Xenopus tropicalis: one gene and its partners. The protein of the gene in region 3 binds, or shares a complex with, the protein of the main gene of each other region. Links are inferred from orthologs where the notes say so. Each region holds a gene or a part of one and is shown on either strand. Other genes may lie near its edges. The genes, in order: ik, smu1, mfap1, zmat2 and sf3b3.

The links.
Region 1: mfap1 (region 3) and ik share a complex: the UniProt entries of both Homo sapiens proteins name them as parts of the spliceosome B complex. The link is inferred for Xenopus tropicalis from reciprocal best matches to the Homo sapiens genes MFAP1 and IK.
Region 2: mfap1 (region 3) and smu1 share a complex: the UniProt entries of both Homo sapiens proteins name them as parts of the spliceosome B complex. The link is inferred for Xenopus tropicalis from reciprocal best matches to the Homo sapiens genes MFAP1 and SMU1.
Region 4: mfap1 (region 3) and zmat2 share a complex: the UniProt entries of both Homo sapiens proteins name them as parts of the spliceosome B complex. The link is inferred for Xenopus tropicalis from reciprocal best matches to the Homo sapiens genes MFAP1 and ZMAT2.
Region 5: mfap1 (region 3) and sf3b3 share a complex: the UniProt entries of both Homo sapiens proteins name them as parts of the spliceosome B complex. The link is inferred for Xenopus tropicalis from reciprocal best matches to the Homo sapiens genes MFAP1 and SF3B3.

Annotation. Positions count from the first base shown.
Region 1 is NC_030679.2:22,991,304-22,994,825, reverse strand, and holds part of ik (protein Red), read right to left. Parts: intron 1,649-3,522; coding exon 1,560-1,648; intron 875-1,559; coding exon 766-874; intron 91-765; coding exon 56-90; intron 1-55. UniProt on the Homo sapiens protein: Involved in pre-mRNA splicing as a component of the spliceosome. Auxiliary spliceosomal protein that regulates selection of alternative splice sites in a small set of target pre-mRNA species. Required for normal mitotic cell cycle progression.
Region 2 is NC_030677.2:94,423,662-94,427,183, reverse strand, and holds part of smu1 (WD40 repeat-containing protein SMU1), read right to left. Parts: coding exon 3,398-3,522; intron 221-3,397; coding exon 68-220; intron 1-67. UniProt on the Homo sapiens protein: Involved in pre-mRNA splicing as a component of the spliceosome. Regulates alternative splicing of the HSPG2 pre-mRNA. Required for normal accumulation of IK.
Region 3 is NC_030679.2:107,681,149-107,684,046, reverse strand, and holds the end of mfap1 (microfibrillar-associated protein 1), read left to right. Parts: intron 1-286; coding exon 287-395; intron 396-469; coding exon 470-630; intron 631-794; coding exon 795-954; intron 955-1,183; coding exon 1,184-1,273; intron 1,274-1,882; coding exon 1,883-2,062; 3' UTR 2,063-2,392; downstream 2,393-2,898. UniProt on the Homo sapiens protein: Involved in pre-mRNA splicing as a component of the spliceosome.
Region 4 is NC_030679.2:26,873,158-26,876,679, reverse strand, and holds part of zmat2 (zinc finger matrin-type protein 2), read right to left. Parts: intron 2,311-3,522; coding exon 2,187-2,310; intron 1-2,186. UniProt on the Homo sapiens protein: Involved in pre-mRNA splicing as a component of the spliceosome.
Region 5 is NC_030680.2:75,062,902-75,066,423, forward strand, and holds part of sf3b3 (splicing factor 3B subunit 3), read left to right. Parts: intron 1-681; coding exon 682-894; intron 895-2,665; coding exon 2,666-2,764; intron 2,765-2,839; coding exon 2,840-2,983; intron 2,984-3,522. UniProt on the Homo sapiens protein: Component of the 17S U2 SnRNP complex of the spliceosome, a large ribonucleoprotein complex that removes introns from transcribed pre-mRNAs.

The DNA of each region.
Region 1 (3,522 bases), about 85 Mb from region 3:
AAACCCAGAAGCAAATACAACAAGATGGCCACAGATATAATTATGCTTTTCTTACCCATCCGCCTCAAGTTTCTTCCGTTTTTCAATAATCTGGAAAGTAAAAACAGTAGTTATTAGATATCTGGTACTTCAATATCACCCATATTAGCTTACAGTACAAAGGGATTGTTTCATTAAACATATAATAAGTTAAAACAGGTTAAAAGAAAATTATTTTTTTACATTAAAACTGTGTTAAAGGGGTGGTTCACCTTTATGCTAACTTTTAGTTTGTTATGGAATGGAAAATTCTAAGCAACTTTTTAATTGATCTTCAATATGGTTTAAGTAGGCATAGTGACACTTTCCTGTAGTCAGAGAAACAGAATCCCCTTACATCCATCATTTCAAAAACTGAGCTTGAGTCTCTATAAACTTTATCTCTTTGGCTGAATACATAGTAACATAGGCTGGAAAAAGACACACACCCATCGAGTTCAACCTTTTTGTCAGAAACTTGCCTGACTGCTAGTTGATTGAGAGAAATAATCTTCTGAGGGAGAAAAATCCCTTCCTTGCTCCAAGATGGCAATTAGACCTATCAGAGAAGCCAAACTAACCAATAGTCACAAGGCAGGACAACTAACCACCAGGTCAGCAAGAAGTTTGGCCCAATACTTTGTATCCCTTACACACAAGAGGAATGAATGCCCCACTGGGGAATACAATAATTACAAATGGAAGAAGAGACTGGAAATTAAAAACAGAAAGACGTCTGACACTTACTGCACTAATTTTTTTCCACTGTCTGTCCAGCTCGGCCTTCTCGTTAGTCTCTTTGAAGCGCCGTGTTTTACGCCCTTCGGACATTTTAATGCCGTACTGGAAAGCAGCCCTGTAAAGAAAGAAACACTCATACTATAAAATGACTGCGTACAGAATGGACAAGGGAAAGGTTTCACAATTCTTTACATGCAGGGTTTTTATGCACATCGTACGTGTGCATAATAATAGTAACATCCTAAACTTCACTGAGTACAGCTACTTGATCCCAACTAAGACATAATTAATCCTTGCTGGTGGCAAAACAATTCTATTGGGTTTTTTAATGTTTAAATTATTATTTAGTAGACTTGAGGTCTGGAGATCCAAATTATGGAAAGACCCCCCCTGGAAAACCCCAGGTACCAAGCATTCTGTATAACAGGCCCAATACCTGTATCAGGGGTTAGGCTTTAAAAACTAGTAGGTCACATCTGCACAGGCCTGTGTTAGGATCTGAATGTTAACCCAGGGGCCAAAGAATTCTATCAACTATGTCCCAGCACTTGTGTGGCCAAATTGAACATTTGTTAGTTTGGTGATGTTTTAAAACATATGAATATATTAATATTCAATATAATAACTAAATGGTTCTAAAGGTGTACAAATCACAAACATAGAGATAAGTCTTCCTGTGAGTAACCTACAACAGGCTTTGCTGAAATAAAATAAAGAAATAAACCAAATACTACTATGCATTCTAATATAATCCTTATAAACAGAGCATTTCTTAGGCATGCAATCAAAATACAACTCACTTGGGTAATGCTTCTTTGTTGTTCATATACTCGCTGTATTCTTCCTGTGTATCAAAGTCCCATCGGCCTAAGGGGCCCTTTTTGTTACCCTAAAGTGAAGATTGTCATACAAATAAATCAGGCTGTAACCGCAAAAACAAGCTATAATTGAGAGACGTCACATATATGTTATGTAAGAGAATACCTCCCAAAATCACAATTGTGATCTGTTTTGTGACTATGTTGGGATACGAAAGATGCAGATGGTAATATCTGTGGTTGGAGGGATAGCACTTAGATGTATATATTTTCAATAAATTTTTGATAAAACATTGAAGGGTGTGCTGGCCACGGATGATTATTTTCTATAATATATATTATATATATATATAATATATATATATATAAACTGCATGACTAATCTATTGTGGAACTACAACTCACACATACAGCTGCACAGAGGGTACATTTCCCCACGTGGGGTCCCAGTGGCACTGTACAAATATTAATGGCTTCCCTTACTGTTGTATGGGGCATTTCTAATGATATATTCATCATATGACTATAATCTTGATCTAATTGCTTTTAAAACATTCCTGCATATTGTCTAAGAGTTACAATTGGGGCTTGGTGGGGGTTGGTAGGCAGCTGTATACAGAGTAAATGTGAGTAAATTTAAAGGTCATGAGAGTTAGAGATGTTTGTACTGTCTTTTCTCTGCCTCCTGACAAAAGTCCCTGTGGGGGACTGAAACGTTGAGGTCTGTAATGTTCCTTTTTCATATTTTGTAATAAAATGTATCTTTTTTTCAAATATTTTAAATCCTGTGAGTGCTGACACTTTTTTGTCTTATATATATTATTCTATATATATTATATTAATATATATATATATATATTCTGCTTGTAGACAGGCACTCAAGTCATAGAGCAATAGCCATGCCTGGGTGCAGTCCCCAAAAGTTTAGGAATAATAGCAAATGGAAATGTCCCGCACTCACAGGTCTTATGTAAAGCATAAGGTGTTTATTAAATCAACATCTAACGTTTCGGCTGCTGCCGCAGCCTCTCTCAATTTCCATTTGCTATATATTATATATTATATATATATATATATATATATATATATATATATATATATATATATATATATATATATATATATATATATATATATATATATATATATATATATATATTGTATTTATATATATATATATATATTGTATTTATTTATTATATCACTTTATCACTTGTCCTCCCTGTGTGCAATTTTGTATTCTGCAAGATTGTACAGCGCTGCGTACCCTTGTGGCACTTTATAAATAAAGTTATACATACATACATAGCACAGCCAATACACTCTTTTAGGCAACTTTACACTAATAAATATATGCCGCCTCCCATAAAGCTGAGGGCACGCTCCTGGAACAGCACCGATATTTCCACATCAAGGAAACATCAGAATTCAATTTAAATTTTATTTGATAGCTTTATGGAAATAAACAATAAAATGGTACAGTTTTTCAAATGCCAAAAACATAACATCTCAACTACCTGTTCTGGAAAATGCGAAAACACAGGGTTTGCATGAATCTCACATTATAATACATATAGCTGCAAAACTGCACAAGTGCAGCTGCCAACAGAACCAGTCAAGTCTTTCCTTTCATTTTCCAGCTTGTAGCAGACTTTTATAAGCTAATTGCTAACTGGTTCCAAGTGGCAAATGCACTTTAACGAATGTAGGTGCTAAACCACTGTATTACTTTCTTAATGGATACAATCCCTAGTTCTAAGTACCAATCCTTACAGGGCCTCATTTTGTCTCAATATCCATATTCACAAGAATGTTCAGATGGCAATTTCCAACCCCAACCTTTTTCAGTATCCTGCAACTGTGCAACCTCAACCCCACAGCATGGCAACCTGGACTGGTAAAGGTGATCACAATGGTCCTCAAACTCACAATTTCAAACAGAAAT
Region 2 (3,522 bases), on a different chromosome or scaffold from region 3:
AACTGCAGTGATGTCCTAATCACTGTTAAAATGTTAGGACTGTGGATTATGAATCAAAAATACATACCTCTCGTGGGTCAAAATATGATCTGGCCAGTAAGTTCTCAAGATGAATGTATCTTTCTGGTTGGTTCTGTTTTAACATTATCATAGGGTCTGTTTGCCTCAGGAGGGATCTAGCAGCTCCCAGCTCACGAAGTTCAATTAGTTCTAATACAACCTATAAAAAACAAAATCAATCATTATGCAAATATCATAATTATACAGCATTGTTAGCAGTATGCATTCATTTTGTTCAAATATGCCAAAAAAGGACACAATAACAATATGGAAGTCACTTAATTCAGCTATATTTCAGCACTTTTGTTTTCTACATTCAACAGGTTACTTATAGGAGAAAACACTATTTAGATGAGCTGAAGAGGAGGAGGTTAGGAGAAAAAACATGCTTCTATAGAAACCAGCAGTGGATCTCTTATTTCGCTTCTAGACTTGAGGGTGTGTTTATAATCTGAGTTGATAGAACTGTGCATGCTGAGTTAACGAAAGTCAATTCCTAATGGAAGGGGCCGAGCAATTAAGAGGAGGAGAAGGAATCCCAAGTGATTAATATAAAGCTGCAGCCTTACTATTAACCTTTGAACAACAGGAGTGGCAGGTATTTATAGATTTCAAAGAGGCTGTTCACTGAATATTTTTTTTTTGTGTGGGGGGTTTACATGTCCTTTAACTCCCGGTTATGAGTTTTTAAACAATGTTGCAAAAGCCAGTCTTCTCCAGCTGGCTTGTTTCACGTTGTTTCAACAGTCAGAGACACCAGGGCAGAAAATAGAAAAGGACAGACAAACACTGCTTTTAATTGCAGTAATTTATACAAATTACTTAAAAACCATTACAAATGTGTAATGAATGTACAGTGGTGTGAAAAACTATTTGCCCCCTTCCTGATTTCTTATTCTTTTGCATGTTTGTCACACAAAATGTTTCTGATCATCAAACACATTTAACTATTAGTCAAAGATAACACAAGTAAACACAAAATGCAGTTTTTAAATGAGGGTTTTTATTATTTAGGGAGGAAAAAAAATCCAAACCTACATGGCCCTGTGTGAAAAAGTAATTGCCCCCTGAACCTAATAACTGGTTGGGCCACCCTTAGCAGTAATATCTGCAATCAAGCGTTTGCGATAACTTGCAATGAGTCTTTTACAGCGCTCTGGAGGAATTTTGGCCCACTCATCTTTGCAGAATTGTTGTAATTCAGCTTTATTTGAGGGTTTTCTAGCATGAACCACCTTTTTAAGGTCATGCCACAACATCTCAATAGGATTCAGGTCAGGACTTTGACTAGGCCACTCCAAAGTCTTCATTTTGTTTTTCTTCAGCCACTCAGAGGTGGATTTGCGGGTGTGTTTTGGGTCATTGTCCTGCTGCAGCACCCAAGATCGCTTCAGCTTGAGTTGACGAACAGATGGCCGGACATTCTCCTTCAGGATTTTTTGGTAGACAGTAGAATTCATGGTTCCATCTATCACAGCAAGGCTTCCAGGTCCTGAAGCAGCAAAACAACCCCAGACCATCACACTACCACCACCATATTTTACTGTTGGTATGATGTTCTTTTTCTGAAATGCTGTGTTACTTTTACGCCAGATGTAACGGGACATGCACCTTCCAAAAAGTTCAACTTTTGTCTCGTCGGTCCACAAGGTATTTTCTCAAAAGTCTTGGCAATCATTGAGATGTTTTTTAGCAAAATTGAGACGAGCCATAATGTTCTTTTTGCTTAAAAGTGGTTTGCGCCTTGGAAATCTGCCATGCAGGCTGTTTTTGCCCAGTCTCTTTCTTATGGTAGAGTCGTGAACACTGACTTTAATTGAGGCAAGTGAGGCCTGCAGTTCTTTAGATGTTGTCCTGGGGTCTTTTGTGGCCTCTCGGATGAGTTGTCTCTGCGCTCTTGGGGTAATTTTGGTCGGCCGGCCACTCCTGGGAAGGTTCACCACTGTTCCATGTTTTTGCCATTTGTGGATAATGGCTCTCACTGTGGTTCGCTGGAGTCCCAAAGCTTTAGAAATGGCTTTATAACCTTTACCAGACTGATAGATCTCAATTACTTTTGTTCTCATTTGTTCCTGAATTTCTTTGGATCTTGGCATGATGTCTAGCTTTTGAGGTGCTTTTGGTCTACTTCTCTGTGTCAGGTAGCTCCTATTTAAATGATTTCTTGATTGAAACAGGTGTGGCAGTAATCAGGCCTGGGGGTGACTACAGAAATTGATATTGAAATTGAAAATTGAAATTGATAAACCACAGTTAAGTTATTTTTTAACAAGGGGGGCAATCACTTTTTCACGCAGGGCCATGTAGATTTGGAGTTTTTTTCTCCCTTAAGAACGTAAACCTTCATTTAAAAACTGCATTTTGTGTTCAATTATGTTATCTTTGACTAATAGTTAACGGTTTTTGATGAGCAGAAACATTTAAGTGTGACAAACATGCAAAAGAATAAGAAATCAGGAAGGGGGCAAATAGTTTTTCACACCACTGTATATTTCAAAGATGCTTAGAACTATGTTTTCTTTTATTACACCCTATGTCCTTTAAACAAATGCTGCTTCCAATAGCAATTACAAAGCACTTAAATTGTTTAATAAATTGGAATGTTAGAATTATGAGTTCTTTATAATTATTTTTTTTGGTTGATGTTTAGACACAAGTGATGAAGATATCCACATATTAACAAACACTGATTTATACAATAAAACTCTCAAGATTAAGGATGTTTTACTAACAGTTCCAAGCGCAGTCACGCTTTATTCCAACAGTGGGGCATCGTAGGGATGCCCCTTTGCTCAATTATAATGCAGCATCAAAAAGTACCAGTGTAAATATAATGATACAGCAAAAAAATTACCACTTTGGACTTAGTGCTGGCAGAGAGTCAGAATTATCTGTCCACATAAGCGAATTTATTTATCTGTGCTGTTAAGTGGATATCACTAAAAACTGCCTTATTTTTTGATATCAGCAAAGCAATAAGTACCACAGACATGTTTCCCAGTATAAAAACTGGATACCTGTGGTGAGACTGCTCTGCAATTAAAGCAATCAATAAAAAAAAAAAAATGTATATAATTTTCCATATCAATACTCACCAATTTGATAACACGCCAGGTGCTATTCCTAGAAAAAAAATACGGTAGAAAGAACTCACAGCAGCCATGTGTAGAAAAAGTAGTTACAAATCTTTATCACTCCACACTCAATGTTGAGGAATAAAGATTTAAAAATTTGTAACTGCTTTTTTTTTTTTTTTTTTTACACGACTGCCGTGAGTGCGTATAATATTTATATATATATATACACACACACACACACAATGTGATTTTCCCGATACCTGTTCATAGAGGTCGATGAGAGTCTTGTCTGGCAGTTTCAGTGACTGAATAGCTTGAAGTACAGTATCCCAATGGCCACTATTGATGTCAGCCACAAAGCTCTCAATACTATCCACAGTGTTCA
Region 3 (2,898 bases):
AATGTACGTTCTCCCAGTTTCCAAGGTTACAAATTAAAGGGGCAGTATCTGTTTTTTTTTTGGGAGGGGGTAGTCTCCCCTGCTCCCCTGCATTTTATCTCAGCATCTTTGCTCTTATTTTCTTGTGACCCACCTGCATTATGCAGCTGCAGGCTGAAAAAAAAATATCTTTAATGTATTTGGGACATTTAAAATTATAGCAACTGTGATTTTCCATATATGAAATGGCTCTCTGCTTGATGTTAAATACCAAAGGGCTTACAGTATGTTGCTGTAACCATTTCAGGAAAGACAGAGTTACTGTGCAGGAAAAAGAAGCTGAGGCGCTTAAACAGAAGGAGCTGGAGGCAGAGACAAAACGAATGGCAGAGGAGAGAAGGAAATACACCTTGAAGGTAAGTATTTGTCTTGATGCAGTGGTAGTTTTGTTAGAACTTTCTGCTTCCTCACTGCAATATTTCATGTACAGATTGTAGAGGAGGAAACAAAGAAGGAGATTGAAGAGAATAAGCGATCCCTGGCAGCCCTTGATGCCCTCAACACAGATGATGAGAATGATGAAGAGGAATATGAAGCCTGGAAAGTAAGAGAGTTAAAGCGCATCAAGCGAGACCGAGAAGAAAGAGAGGCGTAAGTATTTCTATCCCGACTCTATGGATAAAGTCATACTGTACGGCTCATTTACTGCTTGCCATGGTTTCTTTACACTTTGGATAATACTGATAACTTTCACAGTTTACCTGGACTTGTGTGCCTAAAGTTAAATGTTATTTTGTTTATGTGTCATGTAACAGGATGGAGAAGGAAAAGGCAGAGGTTGATCGTCTGCGTAACATGACAGATGAGGAAAGACGGGCAGAGCTGCGTGCAAACGGCAAAATAATAACCAACAAGGCACTGAAGGGGAAATACAAATTTCTGCAAAAATATTACCACAGAGGTGCATTCTTCATGGTAAGAACTATTTAACTAATTTACCCATTCTATATTCATTCCTGTGGGATTTTTAAAAGAGTAAATGTTAGAATTCACCATTTGATAAATTTGCTTCTAAAAATCTGATATTATGGAAATTGGTGAATTTTTCTGTGGTGAGCTCGGTACTCTCACATTTTGATAAATTTTGATGAATTTTACAGAAGCTTATTTTACAGAAAGCTTTGTCTTTTTTTTCCCCCCATAGGATGGAGATGAAGATGTATATAAAAGGGATTTCAGTGCACCCACCTTGGAGGATCATTTTAATAAGACTATATTGCCCAAGGTCATGCAGGTAATTGCAAGAATGTTGCCGTTTCTTACTTTTTTTTGCTCTGCCTGAATTCTAAAGTATTAGATTGATTCCCTGTTTTACTGGGCCACACAAAAATGTGTATTATCACAGTATAGGAGGGATACTGGATGTGATTAGGAAGGTGGTAGTGAACAATGAAGAGTTAGCAAAGTCTAAAACTGCCAGCCATCAGTAACACTGTTATAAAATATATGCAGGAGGGAAAACATTATGCATTCACCCCTTAATGTTTCCATTACATAAATACAATGGAATATTTTTCCAAAAGCAAGAAACTGAAGTGTTTGTTTTCTAGTGATTCTATATATAAAGCAAACAAAATTGCTTGGGAGATGTTAGTCAACTGGAAATTATGGAGCAAAATGGTTATAAATATTAAACTGTCCTTTTTTGTCAAAATTTTCATTTCCAGTAGCTGTGAAATCCTCTGCTAGTCCCCACACAATAGCCCAATATATCTTAAACATGTCCTTAATTTGCACTGGCTACAATTTACTTATGCCATTTATGTTGGGTTCATAGCATGGAAGATTTTAATCTGTGGTTTTCCAATCCAGTTCATAAATTGATATCATCTGTTTTATTCAGGTCAAGAATTTTGGACGTTCAGGTCGGACAAAATATACTCACTTGGTTGATCAGGACACCACTTCATTTGACTCTGCTTGGGGTCAGGACAATCCACAGAACACAAAGTTCTTCAAACAGAAGGCAGCAGGAGTAAGGGATGTGTTTGAGAGGCCGACTGTGCAGAAAAGAAAGACATAAATGTCCGTGTCTATGAGGGACTTGTCCATATTTTCTGGGTTATAAAAAGAACTGCAGCTCATAAACAAGGACCACCATTACTTGCACATACTCTGTATATATAATTTGCAAGTAATGTAATGTTTTTTTTTTTAATGTGTGAATGAATTGTTGGGTTTGTCATTAGCAAATCACAAAGCATTCTCCAAGCTGTGGAGAAACAGAGATTTTCACAGTTTTTTCAAAAATGTTATAAAAGGTATTTTTTAGTTAGAATCATTTTGACATTCAGGAACACTGAAACCGAGGCAAGATTTGATAATATTTGTAAATAAAAAAGTTACTCTGTCATATCTCCTAACGATTTTTGTATGCCCCTCTATCAATCCTGTGAAATAATTGTTTTGCTTGTACAGTAATGAAAGCCACTGGTCCATTTTCTCATGTCCAGCATTCAGCATCTTGTGTGGATTGGTCTGATGTACAGGTATCTGTCTATGCAAGACCTTTTATTGTCCCACATGCTATCTGCTGACTGGAAAGTAAGCACAGTACAAGTGACAAAGAGTTGCCTGGGTACGTAGTTTTATAATGAAAAGTGAATTTGGGTTGGCTTCATGCATTATAGTTACATGGTCAGTCATATACAGATCTGCTGTTAAACTTTTTGGGGCAAAATATCTGAAATTTTGAAAATCTTTCCACCCAGGCATATAGTCAATAATATTATTATTTATTTTTAACATTTATTTAAAACACGCCAACATATTCTGCAGTGCTGTACAATAAGTGGGTTTCATACATTGGACACACAGAGTAACATATAAAGCAATCATGAGTCCCTGTCTCAGTGTAGA
Region 4 (3,522 bases), about 81 Mb from region 3:
TGTTGCCAGTTTTGAACCAGAGTTGTTGCTCTAAATTTTTTTTAAATATATGCACTGTAATGGAGTCAACTGTAGAGTCAAGCACCAGGTTTTAAAGACCAACTATGCAGCGCACACAAGCCTTGAGCAGTCTAATCCACATTCTACACAAACAAAAATTTTATTGTATTCTAGAGGCCATGACTAAAATTGGGGCTCTCCAATGCAAGGGTTTACGGACTTAACAAGCTTAAGCTTCCGATTTCTATTTATTTCCATTTTAGAGTCATTTAAAAGGATTTTACTAGAGGAATGCAAATTATTGAGCACAAGCCTGCATAAGGCTTGTCAAAACTCTGTGGCTGACACAATCGATATTTAATGATACGGTACATAATAAACAATCAATCTATAACGGCTGTCCAACAGAGGCCCATAAATCAACAGAAATGTCATGGAACAAGCCATTACATTGGTTTTATAGCACATACATTGCTGTTCATTTATGGGATCTTCAATATAAGGCAATTTCTATATAAAGGGATAAGCCCAGACGATTTCACAATGTGCAGCGAGATCCATAAAAGGGATTTTTTCCGATTATCAGTTCTTTCCCATGTATTTACTTCTGTAGATAGTAAGTGGTACTTAGATTAACGAGCATAGAATGTTCTATTACCATTTACTGCACTTTTAGTGCAGTTCTTACAGCAAAATTCTTAAAAATCTGCAGAATATCCACCGTACAACAATGCAAGGGGCACTCCTCCTCACTTCCTCCCATAGCAGTTTTTTGCATACTAATAAATCTCTAAGGAGCAAGAGCAGGAGGCAGTGCATGGTTAGAGCACCACAAATTAATAGTAATTTCCATGCCATAACAACAGTACATTGTTAAGTAAACTGAAAGAGAGAACACCAATACTCTCACAGCACAGACACCTTCTCAGTTGTTTCCCCCTACCCACCCCAAGAGAGAAAAAGTGGATTCCATTGTACCAGAGAATTATAAGGGTCTGAGGCACCACAGAGAAGGTATCCGACATGAGAATACTGATGTGACCACATTACCTAACAAGTGTAGTCTATGTTGCTCTTACTTTGTGCAGCCCTATCTATCTTCTTCTACCTATCTTCTTGTTTCTTTGAGAATTATTGATACAGGAGATATCGCTGATAAAGATTTCTGAGGTTTTGCCTTATTGACCTGTGGGTATAAGAAGTGTACCAAAATGTGTAGTAGTGGTCACATAGCCATAAGAGCTTTGCTTTGATTAAATATTGGTGTGAGACATTTACAATTGGGTATTCTTTTAAGCAATGTACCAGATTTCAGATGAACAGAGCAACATACACACTCATAGATATTGTAGCTCTCTGTGTCTACGGAGAACGCCTTAGGTGAAGCAAGTAATATTTCCCATTTATTTAGGCCATACACAGGGTACTTGGCATACCAGTGGCCAACACAGCTAAAACACATAATATTAAATAAAAAGCACACAGAGTAACAAAAATGGAGCAGTGAAAGTCCACCTTTATGGCACTTCTACTTATGCATCAGTAGCAGCAGTAACGGTAAGAACCCACGGTTAATCGTCCGCAATAAATCGCTGCTATCTAGGGCGACTAACTAACTCAGAAAAGGCTTTCCACCAGCAACTTCTATTGTTGCTGCTGGAAAGCCCTTTGCATTGCTTTGTTTTTCGAAGTCGCCTGCAGGAGGAAACTTAGTGCAACTTCGGATTACCAAAGCAATGCAAAGGGCTTTCAGCTGGCGGAAAGCCTTTTCGGAGTGGTTAGTTGCCGATGTTAGCAGAGATCTATCATGGAAGACGAACTCGCTCCATGTGTTCTTACCCTAAAGAGTGACTGAAGTTCATCATCAGAGCACAAATCACAAGGGGGCACTAGGGAAAGTAAAAACATGTCTAGCCTCACATCACTTGTTGATATGCTGCTGGGGGGGGGTATAATATAATATCATTCCAACTCACATTGCATCAGTAAAAAGAAACTGAAAGTTTATTAAAGCACAAGCATAGGTATAGGAGTGCGCATGAGTAGCTCTATAAACTGGTGCATTTGTTGACTCCAACTCTCCATCACCACAAATGAGACATAACCTGGTTGTACCTCAACTTTTAAATGGTGATTACATTTATAGTTGAGTCAACATTGTCCTTAGCACATTATATGCTACTTACCCTCCCATTTCAGACTGTGGAGTGGTCTTTGTAATGACAATGGTCTTTCCCAGCTTGGACTCCAGATCCACCTTATAGTCTCTGTGTCGGAGTAATTCCCTCTTAATGGGCTGTAAAGGTTTGCCTAGAACACAATATATGTGCATTTATTGATGTGGATAATTTACACTGCATAAATGAAATTTGCTTATTTTCTACACAAATCCATTGAGCTATTAACCTGTTAAGAATCATGTGCAAAGATCCGAGCCAGCCCTATTTTATCTTATTGGTATTCTATTTATTGTGTGGAAATTCAGTTCAGAGCTGTTTGATTTAATACTGTATGTCTTCTCTCTGCAGGCCGTGGGCACTGCCATGTACAAGACTGCCACTCATACAATACTTGTTGTTTTGCTTTAAATTTTCCTTAGAGCACGGACAGATAAGGCAAATAATCGCCTGCAGGAAATCTTCTCTCCACAGGTAACAAAGCTCCCAAAAATACCTGGCAATTCAAGTTGCAGAGGGGCAGGTATTTTCAGGCACTTCAGGAGAAGAGATTTCTCAGACAGTAAAGCACCCCATCTGTCATAGGCCTTATAGGCTTTTTTTGCGGTCAAAGCTTTGATAGGCTAGACATTTTATGAAATCAAATGATCTCCTGGAGACCAATAAAATGCAAAGCATAGTAGTACAGCTCTAAATGGATCCTAACTGCTTGTGGTTAAGTACCCATTATAGCAAACAGATGCTTATGTTTATCAAAGATTAAAAGGACGTCGGAATACCAGGGATATACAACCTGAAGCCCTTGTTAAACTACAAATCTTAGCACTGCTGACATGATAATTTATATGACACCAATTAAATCCCTTTTTCTCTGATGGATTTTAAGTTAACTTTTAGTATGTATGATACAGTTTCAGCGACGTTTCATTTGGTCTTCATTTTTTTTTTAATATTTGCTTTCCTCTTCTGACCCTTTATAGCTTTTAAATGGGGGTCACTTAGCCCAGCAGCCAAAAAAATATTGCTCTTTGAGGCTAGTTTCACGGTTAGCGTTACTTTTTATTACATACCTTTCTATCCAGACCCTCTCCTATTTGTATCCCAGCTTCTCATTTGAACAACTGCCTGGTTTCTAGGGTTATTTGGACCCTAGAAACCATATAGCTGCTAGAATTTGAAACTGGAGAGTTGCTGGATATAAAGCTAAATAATTACAAAAACTACAAATAAAAAATGAAGACCAGATGCAGATTGTTTCAGAGTAGCACTCTCTACTACATTCTAAAAAGGTGAACAACCCCTTTAAGTATTTACCGCTAAGGGCCAGGCAGATAAGGCCAGGTGC
Region 5 (3,522 bases), on a different chromosome or scaffold from region 3:
GCAGTGTTTAAAGGAAAACTATACCCCCAGATTGAATATTTAACCAGTTTGTGCGCTCTGTGAATCCTATGATCCCAGGAGGCGGCCCTTAATTGTTAAAATTGCAGTTTTCTATTTAGGAGTACCACATACAACTTCTCTGTAGCTTCATTTGCACTGTTAAATGCATTGTATTATAACTATCTCTTTGAAAAAGACGAGAATTCTGCTGAATAATCAATAACCATATTGTATGAATAAGCTTAATTTTATACTACTGTCATTTTAGTTGGCTTACAACAAAACCCTATTTATATTTAGTAAAAGATAAACTTTGTATCTCTCTTTGATATTCAGCTATACCATTTGCTTGTAATCAATGATAAAAACTATTTGAAACTCAAGAAAAATAATCCTTTTTACCTTTGCACTTTGTCCGGGTACCACACACAACCAGTTTTTATCTATGTACTCCCAATCCCAGAGAAGCTTTTGAGAGCCTTGGGTTGTGGTACTGTTTGAGGGGGTCATGCTGTTTTACATCATCAGAGCACAGAAACACATTAATAAAGATGGTTAAATATTAAGTAGATTTATCATCTGTCTCGTCTATCATCCTCTTTACTTTTGGTGAAAAATAGAGGATTTATCTGTAATAGTGTTTTTTTTTTTTTTTTTTTTTTTTGCTTTTTTTTTATATAGCACATTTCAAACTTTATTGTGGGAATTCAAACTATTGGGCAGCGTGTCATATTGTCTGATGTGCAGGAGAGTTTCATATGGGTTCGTTACAAGCGCAATGAAAACCAGCTGATCATATTTGCGGATGACACATACCCACGCTGGGTCACAACTTCCTGCCTCCTGGACTATGATACAGTAGCTGGAGCAGACAAGTTTGGAAATATCTGCATAGTAAGTTTCAGTAATACCCTGATTCTGATCCCTTTTATTGACCTGTTAATCTTTCTTTCATGTACAAAATGCTTTATCACCAAAAAGGCAGTATTTTAGTAAATGTATGGGATCACTTATCTGAAAAACTGTTCAAATTACGAAATTCCAGTTTTGAATTACGGAAAGGCCACCTCTCATAGACTCCATTATAAGCAAATAATTCTAGTTTTTAAAAATTGTTTCCTTTTTCTCTGCAATAATAAAACAGAACCTTGTACTTGGTCCCAACTAAGTAAAAACAAGCCTATTGGGTTTATTCAATATTTAAATGAATTTTAGCAGACTTAAGTTATAGAGATATAAAATTTACGGAAAGTTCCCTTATCCAGAATGCTCGGGACCCAGGGTATTCCAGATAACCGGGTCCCATACCTGTAACTGCAAATATTAGAGGACCGTAACATTTTAATCAATCATGATTTTAATTACACTGCCATCACCTGGGTATGGTTCTAATGCAACTGTCATTCTCTATGTAAAGCAAATTGCAGTTTTCTAGAAGTTAAAAAAAACATGTCAAAGTGTCTAAACCTTTTGTCAGATGGGACCCAGCTTATGTCTGAGCTATTGGTTCACTGCACAAAATGCCCTTCTAGGGGAATCATTGTGGAAAATTTTGTATAAGCTCAAGTTCATGGAAATAGAATTATTTATACAGTAATTATATGTTCTGTCCTTTTTCTAAAATCAGGTTTCCTTTTGCCATCCCCCTCTCAGCATCTGTCTCTACCTGGGACGGACTTGTTTGGCTCAAATACTTTGTCTACTCTAGGCAAAAGGAGCACACACCAATTTATTTGACTGAACTGTCGATCACAATTGTGCTCCTGCTTTTATAGAGAAAGATTGAAGGGATACTGGAGAGTAACTTGATATTTGATAAACTCATGTTTTTAATTGATTATATTTAAACCGTTTCTTACTTAAATGAGATGCAGCTTAGAGCTGGGCGGTATGACCAAAAATTTATATCACGGTATTTTTCAAAATTATATCGGTATCACGGTATTTGACGGTATATAAATAAAAAATAAATAATAAATATTGGTGGGCCCCCCAACCCCCCCCCACAACTCCAACCACAACCCCCCCACAACTCCAACCACAACTCCAACCACAACCCCCCAGCAGAACTTACCCAACTTGTGGTTCCTCCAGCAATGCGTCCTAGCGACGTCGCGTGCGCGCTGACGTCACATGCGCACGGGCGCAACCCGGATATAATTGAAGAAAAATAGCAGGAGGCGCGCATACCGGTGTAGCGGTATGTTTAAAAACCATATCGTTTTTTTTAAAAAAAACCGGTATACCGGTTAAACCGGTATACCGCCCAGCACTAATGCAGCTCATATTAGTTTCATTTTTTCAATAGTTCCCCTTTAATCTGAACATTTTTTTTGTTAGTATTAAATGTAATAGTATAGTTGTAGATGAAAATGTCGCTGTATAAAATAGTATATTGTTAACCCACTCTAAAGGGCATGGTGACTCTTGGGGTCCTGCTTCTATGTAACCAAGAATCATAAAATATATATTGATGTTTTATATAATTTATAATTTTTATAATACATCAGTAAGCTGTAGCTTGTTTTGCATACTTCTAGTTACAAAATTCCTCTGTAAATCTAACATTTGTGCTGTGTATATGTAAATGTATTGTTGCTCAGTTGCCACAGTTGCTTTATTTACACCAAAAGCTTGGTTGTCTAAAATTGCTGACTCTCCTTAGGTTCGATTACCTTCCAATACTAATGATGATGTTGATGAGGATCCTACTGGTAACAAAGCATTATGGGACAGAGGTCTTCTGAATGGAGCATCTCAGAAGGTAAGTTTCTGAAAGTGTAAAAGTCTTTGCTTCTGTTTTCATTAGACTCCTATTTATCATTGCTCTTTGTTTCAGGCTGAAGTAATTGTAAATTACCATGTTGGAGAGACTGTTCTTTCAGTACAGAAGACTACACTAATCCCAGGAGGCTCAGAATCCCTGGTGTACACTACCTTATCAGGAGGCATTGGTATCCTTGTACCATTCACATCACATGAGGTAACTGTATATTTCTTTGCATGTTAGAGAAAAATATCATAATATTGGCTTGCACCACTGCCACACAGACTGCTAACCAGACAATAAGTACAAAGGATATGACTGCCAACTGTAGTCATATTACGTGTATTTCATTTTCATCCAGACCTATGTGCATTTTGCTTTGACTCCTGACCCATTCCTGAAAGTTTTTCATATATGTGGCAGGAATTCTACATGCACACTCAGGATCAGTTCATTACCGTTTATCTGAAATCAGGTCCGTTTACATTGTTAATCCTGCTTACTGAAGATAGCGTTTTCAGATTAGTTATGGGAGTAGAAGAGGTGCAGAGTAAAGAAAAAAAAAACAAAACACTTTTCTAAATATGAATAAATGAAATGCAATCTCTGAGTTGGAGGAGGCAGAGGCAAAATATTATTAAATTATTTTAATATTTGTACTGTTCATATTTACTTAGAGCTCTATCTTCTCATTAGCCCTTCCTGTTTTGTTAAGCATGCATGCAAGCAATCGGTACAGGTATGGACTCATTATC